Tribolium castaneum: one gene and its partner. The protein of the gene in region 1 interacts with the protein of each later gene in a pairwise test. Links are inferred from orthologs where the notes say so. Each region holds a gene or a part of one and is shown on either strand. Other genes may lie near its edges.

The links.
Region 2: the proteins of U3 small nucleolar ribonucleoprotein protein MPP10 (region 1) and U3 small nucleolar ribonucleoprotein protein IMP4 interact in a two-hybrid assay, tested with the Drosophila melanogaster proteins (2 studies listed by BioGRID). The link is inferred for Tribolium castaneum from reciprocal best matches to the Drosophila melanogaster genes CG13097 and CG11920.

What each region holds. Positions count from the first base shown.
Region 1 is NC_087399.1:8,513,072-8,516,849, reverse strand, and holds U3 small nucleolar ribonucleoprotein protein MPP10, read right to left. Parts: upstream 2,357-3,778; 5' UTR 2,278-2,356; coding exon 2,198-2,277; intron 2,150-2,197; coding exon 790-2,149; intron 741-789; coding exon 603-740; 3' UTR 581-602; downstream 1-580. Other genes in the region: protein SLC31A2, read right to left, coding at 1-110, 156-427; zinc finger protein 142, read left to right, coding at 3,151-3,778.
Region 2 is NC_087395.1:22,014,896-22,018,612, reverse strand, and holds U3 small nucleolar ribonucleoprotein protein IMP4, read right to left. Parts: upstream 2,040-3,717; 5' UTR 1,855-2,039; coding exon of another isoform or gene 1,818-1,854; intron 1,758-1,817; 5' UTR 1,605-1,757; coding exon 852-1,604; intron 752-851; coding exon 566-751; 3' UTR 529-565; downstream 1-528.

The DNA of each region.
Region 1 (3,778 bases):
CAGCTGAGATAAACAACCATCCATTGTACAACATAACAGACAACATCAAAATATAACCTAAGTTTTGTAAAGAGAACCAGAGCCCAATCTCCGAGACGAATAAAAACGTTCTAAAACAAACGTCTTGTTTTTATTCACATTTGTAATAGTACAACCTGTGCATTGGCGTGATTGTGACCCCGGGGGGCGCTTGAGTCCCATCAAGCAGTGTCGAGGTCTCAGTGGGGCAAATCGTTTTCAGTTGCTCCGACCTGAGGATCAGTTCTTTCTGGCGTTGTTTGGCTTGCAGGTAACGGAGAAACTCGAAAGCGAAAGACATGGAGGCCACGCTGAGACACATACCGACAAGGCCCGCGATTGAGTGTGACGACAGCCCCCGGAAGAGGTAGTCGGTAAGTTTGTAGTCCCACCAAAACGACATATGCATGGCGAAACCCGCGTTAGCACATTTTATCAACGGTTTTAAAGAGAAAAATTGAGGTTATGTTCACCACATCAAAATTCAACGATAAGCTTATCAACGCTTATCACTTGAAATTGTTAGTTATGTTATTTGTAGGTAAATGAGAAAAACACGCAATTTACAGTAAGGATTTATTCATTTACAATTTTAATTTTTTCGCGCTCTTTTTATTGGTAGTAGGGGCCGCTTTTCTCTTAATTTGCGAAACCTGGACTTGTTCTTGCAACTGATTGAAAAACTCCTTGGACGACTTTATCCTCTTTCCCTTGTCCTCCATCTGCAACCAAGGAAATAAAATAAAAGCCCTTAACCCAATCAAAACCCACCAAATTAACATTTTTTGCTTTCTTGACTGGTTCCTTCTTATTTTTGGCGTGAATTTTTTGCTTCAATTTCTTTTTTCTCCGTTCCCTTTTTTTATCAGTCGTTGTCCTTTCTTTCACTCCGACGAGATCACCTTTTGGTTTCTTTTGTATTTCTTCAGGTGCCAACAATGTGGCATCACTTACCGCAGTTGGCACCACTTCTTCCACACTAATCGCCGGTAAATTACTGATAATTTTCAAATCGGGAACTGCAGGCTTTGGCGTAAAGTGGAAATTGCTCAAAGCGTCCAATTTCGTGAACAATTTCCTCATCAAAGAGTTAATTTCCTTGTGGAGCTCTGGTTCTTCTTTCTCCCTATCTTCGGGTTCTTGCGCTTGAAGAAACTCCTTCTCGTAGATTTGTGCCAAAGACTCTTTGCTTTTTTCCTGGTCCAAGACGATTTTTTTCTTATAGTCTAACAAATTTTCCACCGGCTTTGCCTTACGTTCCACACTATCAAACACTTTGTCTTTGATTCTTCTTTTTATGATATCCTCCAACTGCATTGTGGTTTGTTCGGTCATTACAGGGGGCGGCCTTGTCGTCATATCAAACTCCACGACCTCCTCAAGGAGCGAATTTTGGGGCCGTTTCTCGGCCGTTATTTCACCCTTTAATTGCCAAGTCTTGTCCTGAATTGCTTCCTCTTCAATTTCTTCGATTTTCTTAGCCAGACGCTTTTGGCGCAATTCGAAAGTCGACGGCTTTTCTTCATTTTGGACGAAGAAGTCTTTGTATTTCGCCGTCTTTGCGTGATCTTCCGAGTCATCGGAATCAGCCTCAAATAAATCAACACTTGCCTCAGATTCAGAATCGTTGCCGGAATCAACACCTTCCTCTTTCTTCTCCTCTTCGCGAAGAAAACGCTCCATTTCGTCCAGTTTGAAGAAATCATCGTCGACGATTGACCGTTTTACGGGTTTGCTCGTTTCGGTCGTCTCGACTTCATCATCAGAGCTCTCCACGTCGTTTAAATCGTTTGATTCATCACCACTGGTGTCAGAATGCTCCGAATTTTCCTCAACTTCACTTCCATCATCGTTTTCTTCAACTTCACTTCCGTCATCGCTAATTCCACTCTTGTCTAGATTTTTAAATAAAAGTCGGCTTTTACCAGCGATTAGTCTGCTAACACAAGTCACACTTTTGGTGGTTAAATTCTCGTTTTGTAACTCGATTTGTTGCCAAATTTGCTCCAAGTCGAAATTTTTTACATTTAATTGTGGCAAAGCGTCCGTTCTGGTGATTTCCTCCGCTTTCGCGTAATCGTAACATTTTTTTAAGCTAGTTTTGATTTTCTCACAAAGAGGGTCACTAATCCTGCAAAAAATTTACACAACTGTTACACAAATTGATAAAATAACTCACTGGAGGAAATTTGTAGGTTTGTGCGTTATCTCCTTAAAATCTGAGAGGCACGTATTGTAAAAATCCGTAGTTTGTACCATTTTTTCCGCATTACAAATTTACAAACACATGTTTTTTAAGGTTATGGTGTGCAACAGAACTACTCGTGTGACCTTCGGTGAGAGTAGTTTATAGTCGAAGTTAAATTTTATGGAAAAATAATTTGCAAGCGTTTGAAATCCTTTTGAAGGCTGTGATCATTTGGCGTGAGCTAACTGATTTAATTAATTTATTATTTGTAATAATTAGCGGTAGTCTTTCCCGAGGGGTGTTTGTCCACCAAGGGCGGTTCCAGGTGGGGGGAACGGGGGTCATGGTCTCGCCCAAACATCAATTTAATTTTTTTTATTGGTAATATAAAAGCGTATCAAACAAACGTTTTTAATGATTCATCAAACGAATTTATAAATAAAATAATGTAAAAACACTTTTAGTACCGGTTTATAGAAGCGTCATTAATTTAATCTACAATTAAATGCGTGATTAACTGGTCACGTGACCACATTCAAACAATTGGACTGGCCCATTCGTGTTGTTAACTTTTAACAACGATTTAAATTTTAACAAAGCATTCAAAAAGTCTTTAGATCAACTCTTGCTGTGCAATTTATATTGACAGATTATGTCTTTTTTTTATTTGATATATTATAGTGATAGATTAGTGACATATAAAAATGCAGAAATTGAATGTATACTTAAGTTTTAATTTAAATGATTGAGAAATGGTGCCAGCTGCAAGCGCAGCAGTTGTCTGGTCGACTGTAATTTCCACAGTCCCACCCCAATTTTTAGTGCACCTTCACCGACTGTCAGTGCATACGAACTACGCTCCATAACCTAACCAATGTCTTGAAATAAAACATTAAAAAATGCGGTTTTAACCCGAATTGTGTACGTTCTTAATGAACTGTGAGATGGGGGACATCGATTTGCACCCCCTTGGCTCCGAAAGATTCCGCAGTTCTCGAAGCCACCCTTTCACAACATCCACCTTTTTCAGCTCAAATTCCAAGAGACGTAGAGTTTTGGAACCGTACAAGTGCATCGACGGCCTCCTCGAACCGTACAAATGCCTCTCGTGTCGTACCTTAACCCCCTTTTTGGCCCAACTGAAGACACATTCCTTGACACAAATCCCCATATATCGACAAAAAAATGAGACAGTGTGCTACGTTTGTGAAAGTTGCAACTTCAAAACTTACTCCCGACTGATTCTCTTGAACCACATTTACTCAAGTCGGTGTAAAGTCACCGATAAAAACTCAGTGTTGATGTTAATGAAACTGGTCGATAAGTCGGGAGAGACGACGATAAAACTCTACTGCTCCGAGGGAATCCCCCGGACGCTGCACCACGTCCAGCGGCCCGCGCGCCAGCCCCCCGGGGTCCCCTCGTTAATCCCGTGCCATTTATGCGAGTTCAAAACGAAAGACAGAAATTACCTCAAAACGCACGTTTTGCGGAGGCATACGCCCCCGGAGGCCATCACGTGGCACCAGTGCGCCATGTGTCTCTACGTGGCGAAATTCAAGGGCGACTTGA
Region 2 (3,717 bases), on another chromosome or scaffold:
TATATCTTACTTGGGTGTTTGTCGGTTTTGACGATTCTGCCGTCCTTGATAATCAGCCGTTTCTTGGAAGTGTCCGTATCAAGTCGTTTGAAGCCACCTGTTTCCTGTTCGTCAAAGTCGCTGTCTGTGTCTACAGAATCAATGCTCGATTCTGTATTGGCCGGGAGTTCATACTCGCTTTCGTAGTCGGACTCGCTCGCTTCGTCGTAATTCTCAAAACTGTGTTCAGACTTGATGAAGACCTTCAAATTGTGTTTGAGTATTTATTGATAGAGAAGTGAAAATTACATCTTCGGGGCGCGCCATTTTCCGAGGTGGTTGCACTTCAAAGTCCGCTTTGCGCCCAATTCCCTGCCTTTTGTTAAAGGACCTATCAATGTCGTCCGGCGATTCGAAGTCCATCAACTTTGACGACTTCTTGCGCACTCTGCCGCTCCTCGAAACACCTGTTACTTCTAAATTTATTGTTTCCATTAACACATTGTCCAAACAAAACAATAAGGAAGAAAAATAAAAAAATAAAACACATCGTCGTCAGATAATTTATTAAAAAAGTAAATAAAAGTTATGAGATCATTGTGTCCTCTTGAAGCCAACCGTCTTCGTCACTTAAAAATCTCCGTTTCACCGTTGTGTTCATGTAGGGCCTTAAAGCCCACTCTGTATCGGCAGCGTCCGCATTGTCTAAAGTCCCTAACTTGATCTCATAGAGGCGCAGCTGGAATCGGGGCCCCACTTCAGACAATTCGATCTGAAAATGTTTTTTTTTTCAATTAATCGATACTAAGGACAAAACCGGCGGATTTTTTCAAATAGTTGTATAGAAAATTTAATTTTCCGGGGTGACTTACCTGCTTATCGACTGTTTTATAATTGTGGTGCCTAAAGCTAATATAATCGTCGTGGTTGGCGAAGGTGATTATCCGTTTGGAGTCCTCCTTGGGCACTGGAAACAAGTACTTCAAAATGTTCGTGACACGCTCCCCAAGTTTCGTTTTAAAATTATGGAAAATCAGATGGGGGTATTGCTCGGACATGGTCCCCAAATCGGGGATGTCATGCCTCATGACAACATCGGACATCGTAAAATAGGCGGTGGGGCCGTAGGGCAGATGGCAAACGACTAAACTGTCCGGCACCCCCCTGTGCTCATGCACTACGATGAAATCGGTCACGTCATTGGCCCTGCACGCATGAATCAGCTGCTTCATCTCGTAGTTGCCCCGATTCATCCGCTGGGCGTTGGGGAAAATCAAGCGCAGTTCCTTGACGAACATTTTGAGTCTCGAGCTGGGGTCCCGACTCGTCGTGATGACAATTTTGGGGTCCTCGACCCCCGCGTATCTGTACTCGTCGTCGATGGAGCTGGCTAGGGCCCCGCCGCTCTCGCCGCCGAGCTGGACGGCGGCCGCGGGCCCCGCGTCCTCCCACTCGAGCTTCTTGGAGTAGTGCAGGGCCTTCTTCTGGAGGTCCCCATGGATGGGGATGTTCTCCTCTAAACTGCGCTTGATGCGGTCCTTCTTGTCTTGGATGGATTTTTGCTTGTCTTCGACGGTTTTCCGGTAGAGGTACTCGCGTCGTAAGCGAGCTTGGCGGCGTAACATTTTCTAAGTTTATAACCTCATGAACACGTGCACTTGACAGGTGACAGCAAACAATCGCTGCTGCCAACGCGAGGAAAACGAACGGAAAATTGTTTGTTTATTAATAATTGGGCGCAAAAAGTCTGTCTTTGAAACGCACGCAATGACTCTAATCTAGAGAGTAATTATAGATTTGCGGGAACTTATTATGTAAACTAAAATGAGTAAACAAACCTTCCGATTTTGGCTTCTTGGCTTGAAAATTTTCCATTGCGTATCACAAAGCGCTAACGCGTTAAACTATCATTTTTTCGTCACTTATTTAATTGTCTGGAGCCCAAAATAATTGAAAACTGCTAACACGAAATGTTATTCCTGTGTTTGGAAAGAATTGTCACGCTTGGATGTCGGTGGCACCATGAACATTACAGTCGACCAGACAATCGCTGTGCGCACCATTTCCCCACCATTCTCGTTTTCTACAGCCAAGTTCACACCAGGAAAATTATCAAAATAAGGGTAAATCATTATAAAAACATTAATAAGCTGTTACTCTGACTTGCATATATTACAATTGTAGAGTAGAACATCTCCTGACCATTCTAATGTGTTTTCGCTTAATCTCCTACAAAAATTAAAAAAATTGAAGGATATAAAGAGGGTGAAAAAATAAAGTTATTGAGTAATAAAATTGTTTATTGGTACACTGAGCATACAAATCTAAGACAGTTAAGTAAAACATTTGTGTGTTATTTTCTTCGAACAGTCCTTGGGGGAAGTACCCATTGTCGTCACCTCAGGCAAGAAGCAATCGTCACGGATTTTCCTTTATTATACATTTGACGGGACAACAATGGGGGTACGGTTTTGTTAGATCAACCGGGAGGTCTTTGGAACAGTTTGGAGCCCTCATTAGGCGCAAAGCACACCTAAAACCGAATAAAAATAATTGAAATTAAATGTAAATCTTTAGGAATTTAACCTTCCATCAACAAATATAGACCCATCGGGTTGGCAGTGAGCCATTGCACATTTGCCTGGAACCGGTAGCTTTTTACGGGACTCTAGATGCCCCAATGTTTCGTCAAAACATCCAGTTTCTAGAATATTTATGAATTTAATTAACAAACTAAGAAATTTGCAACGTACTTTGATCTTTTAAGGGCGGAGTAGATCTCAATCCTGGCCCTACGCCGCAATGAATTTGTAAAATACACAAATTTAATATTATTAAAAAGCACTTCATGGTCATGCTTGGTTTGGGAGGAAAGAATAGTGGGTATTTTATCATTGTTTCATTTATTAGTAATTATTAGTTGCAGTGATAAACACCCGAACAATTAGTAATAAACGAGAAAAAATTGCGACGTGACTTGAAATACGTGTTATTATTTTATTCTGCTTAAAAATTGCAGAGAAATAAAATATTTTATTTCCTTGCTACAAATCAGGAGCGATCACGATTTTATATATGCTTTTTTGTTTTATTAGTTTTGCTTGTTTATGATTTTTAGAGCAATTTTGTATTTGTCGGTTGTGACATTACTAAGAATTATTACGCAGTTTCATTCAACAATGATTAATTTTGATAAAAAACATCACAAATCCAACAAAATCCGTATTATGCTGTTTTTATTACCGAATAGAATTGTAAGTACTAACAATGTATTTATTTCCGAAAAAAGCTGGATCTCCGATTTATTTAAATCTCCGCTACGTTAACCCTTATTTGTATCTTTGACTGGGCAGGAAATCTGGGGGCAACAATTCGGAAAAGGTTTTTTCCTATCTCCCGCAACTATTTTACAGCCATTTTTACCCTTCAGGTGGCGACTGCACCTGAAATAAAATAAATTACGACAATTTAAGACTTCAAATTTTCGTACTGTAGACTAGATAATTTTCCGGTAGACTTGCAAATTATCTCTGCACATGTCTTGTTAGGGTATGGCTTACGTTCGCCAATTTTAAACACACCATACTTCTTGTGTTTGCATTGAGTGGCAGCCTCTATAAAAAGACTCACATAAAAATAATTAATTAAATGTACTAACTTCTCGCTGCAGAAACATCAACGAGTTGCAAGGCGCAAATAATCACTAGCACTACCAAAAGTACCCGTAAATTCATTTTG